Linked DNA regions of Drosophila melanogaster. Changing the gene in region 1 together with any one later gene gives a genetic interaction. Each region holds a gene or a part of one and is shown in the gene's direction. Other genes may lie near its edges. The genes, in order: ltl and cv-2.

What was found.
Region 2: of ltl (region 1) and cv-2, changing one suppresses a phenotype caused by changing the other (phenotypic suppression), as found in Drosophila melanogaster (one study listed by BioGRID).

Annotation. Positions count from the first base shown.
Region 1 is NT_037436.4:7,517,024-7,522,071, forward strand, and holds the start of ltl (larval translucida), read left to right. Parts: upstream 1-1,973; 5' UTR 1,974-2,661; coding exon 2,662-2,954; intron 2,955-5,048.
Region 2 is NT_033778.4:21,376,340-21,381,627, reverse strand, and holds the start of cv-2 (crossveinless 2), read left to right. Parts: upstream 1-2,163; 5' UTR 2,164-3,123; intron 3,124-5,288.

The DNA of each region.
Region 1 (5,048 bases):
AATCCGGAATGTGCAGATCTATTCAAGTGGATAAGCCTTCAGCAGAAGCATTACCGGAGGCATATCCACACCATCCCATCGTACCAGCAACCCGCACCATCCCATTTCATCGTCATCGAAGTCCGAAGCCTACGCTACTCTTGTTATTGTTGTCGCCTGCAATCGAAACACGAAAATGTGTCACATAAAAATGTTGAGAATATTTATGTGCAAAAAAAATAAAATAAAAACAAAAAGAAATACCAAGAAGCCGTAAAGAAAAGAAAACATATGAATAAATAATAATTATAAATATTTGCCGCTTTTCTTTAAATATTTACTCGAGATGATTGGGCGCCAAAAATAGATTGGCTACGTAATCGAGGTATATTTTCGTACCTACAGTTATTGATTACAGTGCGGTTCAGCACTGTAACACCACAATTGGCATCTGCTAAGCTCGGCAGTTGCTGTGCTAAAGAGTTTAACATTTTAGTTTATTCCAAGCTGCCAGTTTAGATCATAATTTAAATAACTATCTGCAATTCTTAGAAAATTATTCTGCGTGCGTTCTAATAAATTTATGTTAGATATATTCATAAGAATCATGACAATTTGAAAACTATAAACAGTTTATTTAAAAAAACCTTCCAGAGATATGGACATTATTTGATAGGAAAAACTGTGGAATTCGGAAAATATGTTCATAAAAGAAGAGTTTATCCCATTTATTAACAGATCTAAAACAGGAAGTAGTTCAATTACGAGAGGAATATTATTAATTGAAACATTATTGGATTGATCGAATAAAAGCCGGTCATAAGATTTAATTTTTTAAATCCCTCTAAATGAGTGAGCCCGGCTGTATGTAATTAAGTTAATCTCTCCGACGGCCCTAAACATAACATAATCGTGCCAAGGTTCCTCGGGAGCTTGCAGTCTGCATGGAAAATGGAGATGGATGTGTTGGCTGGGCATCAGAAGTCACTCAGCCAGTGGCCGCCCCCCGATGATCCCGATGATTAATTGCAGCCAGAACTGCAGACGACGACCACGACGACGACGAGGAGGAGGAGACATCGTTGGCACGCGCAATCCGTGGAATTTGCGGAATTTGTGGCGAGCGCATTTAAGGCGCCCAGTGTTTAATTATGCATGCGGTCCCAGAACTTGGAGATAAATTAAGGCAGCGGACTTTGATGCATGGCTCCTGCTCCCGGCTCCCTGCTCTCTGTCGCCTGCTGCCTGCTGCCTGATCCCATCCCCGCCAGAGTTTTGGAATCGCTCTGGCGCCAGTGGAAAATTTTCACTTGGCCCAATCTCAATTGGGCTGCGCAGATCCTTAAACAAGCCGGTTCCATTCAAACACTGCCAACGATCCTATCAGATACGATACGTTCCGATATGATACGATCCAAAAAGTCATAATTAAAAACATAGCTTGAGAGCGAGCGAGGCGAGTGCCAGATGTGTGTCTATGTAAAAGGACAATTTGATGGGAGTGCGTAGAGCAAGAGCAGCACATATGTAAGTACCAACATGTGTCCACGATAATATAATGATGCCCCATACATAGAACTGGGTTCCGAAGAAGATCCCAGCGGCAACATGGGCAAGCAAGTAGCATGTAGCAAGTAGCAACAAACATCAGCACTCGATGGGGGCACAAACACATCGCACATCGCGATCGGGATTGAGTTGCAGATATAGATGGAGATTGATGCCTGGCGCCGACAGAACATGTAATTGAGTGTCGTGGACAATTATAGCCGCATCTCAAGTCCCCAATTGGCCAAAAAGCCGCTCGAGCATCTCGCCGGAGCGCCAAGAGATCGGAGAGAGAGTAAAACCAGCAGCAGCAGCAGCAATACATATCGCACCGCAGCAGCAACAGCGCTGCCGGCAGCAGCAACAGCAGTAGGCAGCAGCAGCAGCAGCAGCAGCAGCAGCTAGCAGCAGCACATACGAATCCTCAACGTTAGCATTTCCACTCCCAGTCGCAAAGAGACCGCCCTGCAATCTAGACGTGATCAGCAGCCCATCAATAAAAAAAAATACAATAGAGATATACTCGCGGTGTTCGACAAACAAACAGGCAAATACAAAATTTTTTAGAAGATTAATTCCGAGCATCGGCGATCTATATACAAGCGGGTCAGAAGGTCTAGCAGATAGGAGGAGGCGGAGGAGTAGCAGCTCCAGCTCTAGCTCCAGTTCTCCATATCCCAGCCGTTAAGATTCGATACGATCGATACGATCGATCGATCGACCGAACTTAACCTTAAGTGCGGTGCGCGTGTGTTATTTGAAAGATCTTTCAAAAGTAGTGACAGTGCGGCTTTGAAATCCGATGCCAGCGGTTCAGAGAATCAACGAAATCCTGCTGGAAAACCGAGCTGCCATGGAAACCCCCGCACGCACGCATATGTGCGCCTAGTGGGTAATTTCCCGAGTCTTTCGTGTTTTCCGAGCTGCCTGCTCGAACAGTTGATAATCCGCCGTCCGAGCGAATGCAACGTGTCCTGGTCTCGAGCCGGAAAACCGTGATTTGTGAACTGTGAACCGAACTGTGAACTGAGATATCGTAGATAGCGAAAAAGTGTACATATACAAATATATTATTGCTCTGGCCAAAGAATTGTGAAATCGCATTCACCGAGTGACTGAGATCACTCTACGAAAATGACTTCCCTCGTGTACACCGTCTTTCACCTGGCCTCGCTGCAATGTTCCGTGCGTCCGGAGATCTCGCCCTGCACCTGCGAAACGGGCAAAGCCTGGAATCATGTGGAGCTCTCCTGCGAGAAGTTGGAATCCTTCAACGCCGTCGTGGACAGCCTGGCCAATAAGCTCAATGCCGACACCAATATCGACCTAAAGATCACGCACTCGCAACTCGACGACCTGGAAATGCGCTCGTTTACGGATATGAACTTCAACTTGTACAAGCTACGGATGCAGTGGAACAGTCTAAAGTGAGTTGAGTCATCGATTCGGTTTGCAATTTTGGAGAGCAGGAGCCAAATAGCTCTATAAGGGGTTTCCCAGCTGTGGTGTAGATTCTATACAAATTCCTTTGCTGAATCACTAGATTTTTAGAAACTGACTAAAAAGTCGCTACTTTACATTTGCCAAGTATAGATAGATTCCATATATTGCTCACAAGAGGAACACTCCTTTTCATATAGCATACATTTATGTAAGTACAGTACAGATATATCGTTGGTAGCGTGTGCCAATTTGTGTAGATCGAGGTATAATGATGTATTGGGGAAATTTTCCTGCTATAGATTCAATCAAAATTTCTTTACTGTGGCGGGGAGTTCAAGGCCAACAGCCAAGTTCCGCAGAAAGGCAGAATTTTCCGCTCGGCCGGCTATCAATTTAGGTTCCTTAAACCCAATAAAAACCGAGAGAAAAATAATAATGCAAAATGTACACAAATTTCAATACGCTTATGTAAATGCACGAAAAAATGTGCTCCACAGATCGGTTCGGGTGGCCAGATCTTGTTTACAGCCATATACATACTACATAGATACTAAAACAATAACAATGTCGTTTGTTTACGTCAAAGAGCCCAGTGCCGCCTCATTATCTATGGCTCAATTGGGCAAATTGCGAAGGAGATGGATGGATGTGGTTGGAGATGGTGCAGTCGCATCTTAATTGCCGCCCAGATGATTTAATTTTTCAATTAGGAAGTAGCATTGAATTGCCGCTAATTCCCAACTATGGGATGTGCTGCCGTAGCTTGAGTCTCGTCGTCTTCTTCTTCTACTACATCTTCTTCTTGTTCAATTGATAACTGATAACGCTTATCACCTACGAAGTATTTATATAGGATTCCGCCTATGTACTTAGCCGTATGGCTGACTGGAGGTATACGACGTATACTTAATGCGTACACAAAATTGATAATTGCAGTTTGTTGAAGGCGTCTTTTCAACGGCGCCTGCACGTTTTCCGACTCTGACTCTCAATGAATTTCAATTCACTGTCGCATTGTGTTTTATATGTACACATATTGACAATTATAATTAATGCATATAAATAAATGCTGTCGATCCACTGATCTGCACTTGCGAATATAGAAATAACATTCGAGCCTATTTCATAAGCGCCTGTCGCGGGTTCATTGATATTTGACTCCGTTGTTTTACAGCCACGATTTTACATTCGCGATTCAAAACAAAATATGACTCAGGGGATTCTTTGTGCCCAAAGCCCCAAAAAAAATGTTTTCGAAAACTGAATTCAATCACAAGGACAAGCGTTTGTTTAATTTATCAATAGCTTCATTCAACTGTATCTTTGTGTTAGCCGAATTGAAATATCTCTTTGTTACAATCCATAGTACTAGACTCATTCATGTTTATATTCCAAAAAAAAAAAAAAAAACGCTTATCTTTATTGTTTTTGGGAATCTATTAAAAATTTAATAGCGACTGTGTGGGATGAAACTGGGTTTAGGCGTACATTCGGGAACACGTTTTAGTAATATAGCACAAATCATCGAAAGTATTTGGAGTAACAAAGTGCGAAAGCTCCACCAATCAACCGATGGCGACCTTTTAGTTCTGGGAAAATCCATTCCTTGAATCAGTTTTCTGAAATCATGGCAATTGCCCGGCGACTACCCCCACGATTAAACTATTCGATTTATCATTCTCCGAATGCAATTTGCGTGTTTGCATGGAAGTCGGCATGATTTAATTAGCCGACTTGATCGAATCAGTGTTATGCACCATCTCCCCAATCGGCGATCTCCCCCAGAATCCAGCTACCAAGCATCCAACATCCAGCATCGAGAATCCAGCGGAGAGCGCGTGCCTCTGGTGGCAATGCCTTCGATTCTGGCTGCTCGGGGAACGCTTTTTACATTGATGTCAATTTATAACAATTGACCTATTGCCTTAATATCGTGCTTTGACCAAATCATGCCAGCCAGCCAGGAAAAGTATCGCCAGCACACATGTGTGTATTCGTATGCACTGCGAGAAATTGGGCGGGCTTATCTTTCTGACAAGAAACATTTTTAATATTGGGTATACAAGTTATGCATTTTA
Region 2 (5,288 bases), on another chromosome or scaffold:
GGGATTATTCTCACCTGACGCTCATCCCGAAATAGCCAGCACAACAGCGACCGAGTCACTTATTGGCCAATTGCAAATATTTACCAGTATCAAAATAGCATCGATTCGCTGCGCAAACTGCTTCGCAATCGTATATATATAGCATATAGGCTGTGGATAATCGCACCAAATGTGGGGGGTGGTTTTGGGGCTGGAGACGCTCGACGGCTTGCCTATTTGCTTAGGGCTTAGAAGCTCAACGCTTAATTACGCTCAAGTGGCGTGGAAAATTGTGGGGCGGGATTCTCAGATTTCCAACCACCGCCCACTGCCCACCGCCCACCGTCTACCTCCCCATCCACCCAAACACTAAGCAATTCGACCCGATGACGTTTATGCCAAATTGCTTTGCACTTTGTTTGCAATGCGGGGGGAACCTATGCAAATAGCAAACGGCATTTAATGAAACGCAATTATTTAATTTTACAGACTGCGTCACGGTTCCCACCTGGCTGCATATTGCACCGTTCGCCTCATAAATAATGACTAGGCAACCTCCAGTGACAAAATCCATGGCCTGGGAAACTCCATCTCTATCTCCAAATCCAAAGCTGAAACCAAGAGCATAAGCAAAGCTGAAACCGAAGCATAATCCAAACCGAGCTTCGTTCGTGATAACTGCAATTTTCCAGCCACAACTACAGATACAATGAGTGCATAAATCATCTCCAGCTCAGCTGCAACTCCGTGGCATTTTCCTAGCGTGCCGCGGCAGCTTTTCCAAAAAAACAAAAAAGAAAAACATGCAAAAAAAGGCCATCGCATAAATGTCAAATGGCTGGCAGTTTGATTTGGCTGCGGGTTAAGTGTGAATTATCCCAGGGTCTCGAAAACTCGCCACCATTTGTACCACCGTCTCTGTCTCATCATCTGCCAAATGCATTTAAGAGCTTTAAGTGCTATTATCGCATTCGAGACAAATACCATAAGACACAATTCGGATTGCAGTCACGTCGGCTTTGGGGATCATAATGAATGGATTCATTCATTCATTGTGGGAAAGAACTGCTGCTTACGATTTATAGTGCAACTAAAACTAAAGAGCTCCCAGGTAACTTAGCTAGAACTTAGCCCACGCCTTTGGTTAGTTTAGTTAGCTTAAAAAATTTTTATTACTTGCAATGATTCATTGCTATTGGTATGGATTGTGAAATTCCTTGTCATTTATAGCACCTTATTTTCAAGTTTACACTATCATATGTACATGCCATTCTGGTGATAATTTCACCTGACTGCAAAGTCATTCAATTCCACCTGACACACACTGATCTAATCAGCAGGCTTTTGAACTTCAATTCATTCATGGTTCGAGTGGAAAGCAATCGAATTGATACTACGGCCGAATAATGCCTTTATCAGACGGGAAAATACCTCCGTGAACTATCAAAACAAAGAAGTCGAGGCAGACAGCGCGGAATGCCAGTTGACAAATTCTAATTGGCAAAAGTTCCCGGAATTGAATCGAAACGAATCGCATTGAATTGATTTGCCTACCATGCGACTACTAAGGTGTGTTGATTTCCCACCCAATGCGCAGGGGGGGGGGGGGGTCGCTTCTCATGTTCGCCCTGTTAACACTTTGCCATCGTCGAGGTGTTCATTTCGCTTAGGAATGTGTGAATGTAGATTGAAATTCGATTTCAATTGCAATTCGTGAAGAGTGCGCCTTTGAAGTCGGCAGCCCTGAAATTTGGGTACAGTTGGATATGAATATCTTAACATCTCAAACATGTTACGACATGTTTAATTTAGTAGACATTGACTGTTAACTTTTTAGGGCTATACTATCTCTATAAAATCTAGATTATCTCAAAATTATCGTAGACAATGAAATATTATAAACATATTTTACTAGTATTTTGTTTTTAAGGAATCACTATAAGCATAACAATTAGTTCAAAACTTTAGAAGGCAACTAGCGTTTGTACAACAACACCAGAAAAGTCCCCTTATCGCTAAAAAATCGCAGCAAAGTGCGAGCCCCCAAAAACGAGGCCCCAATCCTCTGCTGCTGCGCTGCTTCGCCTTCGGCTCGGCTCGGCTCGGCGACACCGACACGAAGGCCAGCCCGAACGCAGACGAGCGTTTTCTCAGTGTTCTCAGCGTTTTTTCCGCTTGCAGTGCTCAGTTCAACTTTAGCTGCGCACGCGAGCGGTGCGGTTTTCCAGAAGCGCTCGAGAGTGGCTCGAAATTGTAAATTGCTGGCCAGGAAAATCTATCAGCCGTAAAAGGGGAAAACTCGCGCGCGATTTTCACGTTCGCCGATTCACACGAGACAACGATCGCTGGTGGAGCGTAATTACTATAAAATACGTAGTCCGAACGCAATTCAAATAGAAAACAACATAAACGAATTTGAAGTTTGTTATCAACGCGACTGAATCTTAATGCGGGGCTTAGCTTGAATTTCTGATATTCAGACTTGTGCGATTTTCTGTTTTTCTGATTTTCTGCGTGCGCTAATGCGTCGTTTTCCACTAACACTGGCTAGCAGCGTTTTCCAGTGGGTCCGGCGAATTGGCGCGCAATTTCATTGAATTGCATTGAATTGAATGCTTATTGCAATTGCGGCACGGCGCGAAATTGAACCTTTGACAGCGTCGACGGACAAGCGCGCACACAACGTGGCGTATGCGTAATCTGTGGCAAGCGAATCGAAGTACTCGCAATCAAATTGAAATTGAAATGCAAATGTAAATCGAAATGGAAATGGGAATTGAAATGAAAGGCGCGCGCCGGCTCAAATAAATTATGCGCCAGTGAGTTCTAAGTGCTTCGTCTCTTTCCAAACGCGGTGTGGCCTCTCTTTTTCGCGTAGAAATACATACATACGTAAAAAATAATACAAATAAAAAATAGACCCAAGCCCAGGCAATTGAAAATGCGATTTATATCGGTTCGAGTGGCAGCAACAACAGCAACAACTAGACGACAACAATAACAGCAAGAACAAGAGGCGAACTGATGATCGCTGGCAACATGTCAAGCATAATTAATTTTCGATTCCGCCGATTTCTTGCCACCAGCAGCAGCAGCAGCAGCAGTAGAAGCACCTCATCTGGAAATCTGGAAGTGTAATTACGGGTAAACTTTGCGTCTTTACTTTTTCCTTTGTAATTAATCTTTGCCTCTCCCTGATTCCGCGATTCCCCGATTCCCTGATCCGGAGATTCCCCGATTCTTTGTTGCTATAATGCCAAGTGCGATTTTGTTTTATTATAATGCGAAACATATAAACATTTCACTTATCTGTGTGTATCTGCGAACGTGTGTGCTATCTGCCTTTGTTGTTTCAACATTTTGCGAAAATTGTTTAATTGTTTGGTTTCTATTATCACATTTGGCACTCGCTCTCGCCTCTCTCTCTTGATTTCCTTCGAATTGATTACTGCCAAGCATTAAAAGTTGTAAATTCGAAATCAAAAGCCGATCAAATTGCGAATAAGCAAACATATGTTTGAGTGTCCGGGCCAGCATTTAATTGAGAACATTTGCATAGCATTTTGTAAAGGCGGAAATCATAGTTGGCTTTAATTGCCCGACAGCCATTTGGTTTGGGCTTAATAAATCCAATTCGAAAACCATTGAGGCGTTCTAAGTGAGCATTTCGAGTGTGTAGAACGACTTTAAGCCGCTTAACAGCTACCAACTAAGTGAGCGATTAAACAAAGTGCCGCAGATCGGGTGCATGAGCACAAAACACCTTATCTATTGCCGGGCATGAGTCAGCGGTGATACATATTGTTTAACCAATTAGTAACGATGTGTCAAATATCACCAGGTGATATATAGATATATAAGCTGGCCAACTGTCAGGCTGCAAAGATGATAAATCACTGCAGCAGCTGCTGCTGCAACTGCAACTGCAGCTGAAACTTCAATTGCAGCGAGAATTGTCACTAAGCTAATCGCAGGCCATTTCCTGTATTACCCTCATCGAGCCATAAAAAGTGTCATCGCTTGGTGGACGGGGCCACAAATAGGAAATACAATAAACTGGCTCATTAGGAGGACAGTCTGGCAGAAGGACACCAAAACAAATTACGACTGCTGGGGCAATGGAGACACAAACCGAAACGCAAACATAAGAGCCAATAAAGTATGCACGGAAAGAAATATTATTTAAGCATTTTCAATGCATCCAAGTACTTCTGTTCAAATTTATATCTGTTTTATCAAATGTATTACCATTGTTTCGTATTTTGAATACAACATACTGTATCTTTGATTGCTAATATCTTGCTAGTTTTAACGTATTTTCTTTCGTCACATTCTTCATTTATCTCTGTGTAAATAACACTGGTAATAACTGCTCTTTGCAGGGGGGACTGCAATTGGGATTGGGATACGTTTGGGGGCGGGGCAGGTAGTAAGCCAAAGCTACATGGGTTAATACGAATGTGCGCCGGTATGTCCATGAAACGTCCATAGAACAGACGTCTGACTAGCAGTTCGCGTACTGGGCTAAACTGGCGACACACCAGCCCATGGATGACAGTCCCCATTCCTATTCCCATTCCCATTCGGCGTCCCCAAGCCTCCCATCCTTGAGCTATCCAAACCAATCCCCTATCCTCCGATCCCTGACTTGCAGTGGCAGAGACAAACGGACGGACTTTCCCGTACTGCCTAGGTGTCGCTTTTTGTTGTTGTTTCTGTTCGCTTTATAATAAAAATGCAACCATACCAGTTTTGCCAACTGACAACTGGCATACACAGGCGGCGGGGCCAACTCGTTTGCCCCTTCTGTCCACCGACCAACATCAACATCAACAATAACAACTGCAACTACAACTACGAACTGCATGTGAATTTGGTTTAAAAAAAAAACTATGTGTTTATACCCTTGGATCAAGGGTAATTGAAGTGGATGATGTTGTTTGCTTAGCACGAGTTGGGGAACTCTTGAATGAAGATGGGCAGAAAGTAGTTTTTACAAGTTTTGAAGTTAGAAAGTCCTTTGGATGGAGTGAATCTTTTGGGGTTGAGAAAGGCATGATAACTAACTTACTAACTCTAGTAACTTGCCCACAGAAAAGCGAAACTTAAAATGATTTATTTTCCAATTTAATTTGATCTGCGTTATCTTAGATCCTTTAAGTAATACATGTATTCAGATTCTAAAGGACTTAGAAGAGCGTGCTTTCCAGGGTACTCCCTGTTCGGATACGTTAGGGTACGATTCGGGTTGCGACTCTTTCTCGCTCCCGCTGGCCACGTTCACGCACCTGTCCAAGCACAGCAGAGCC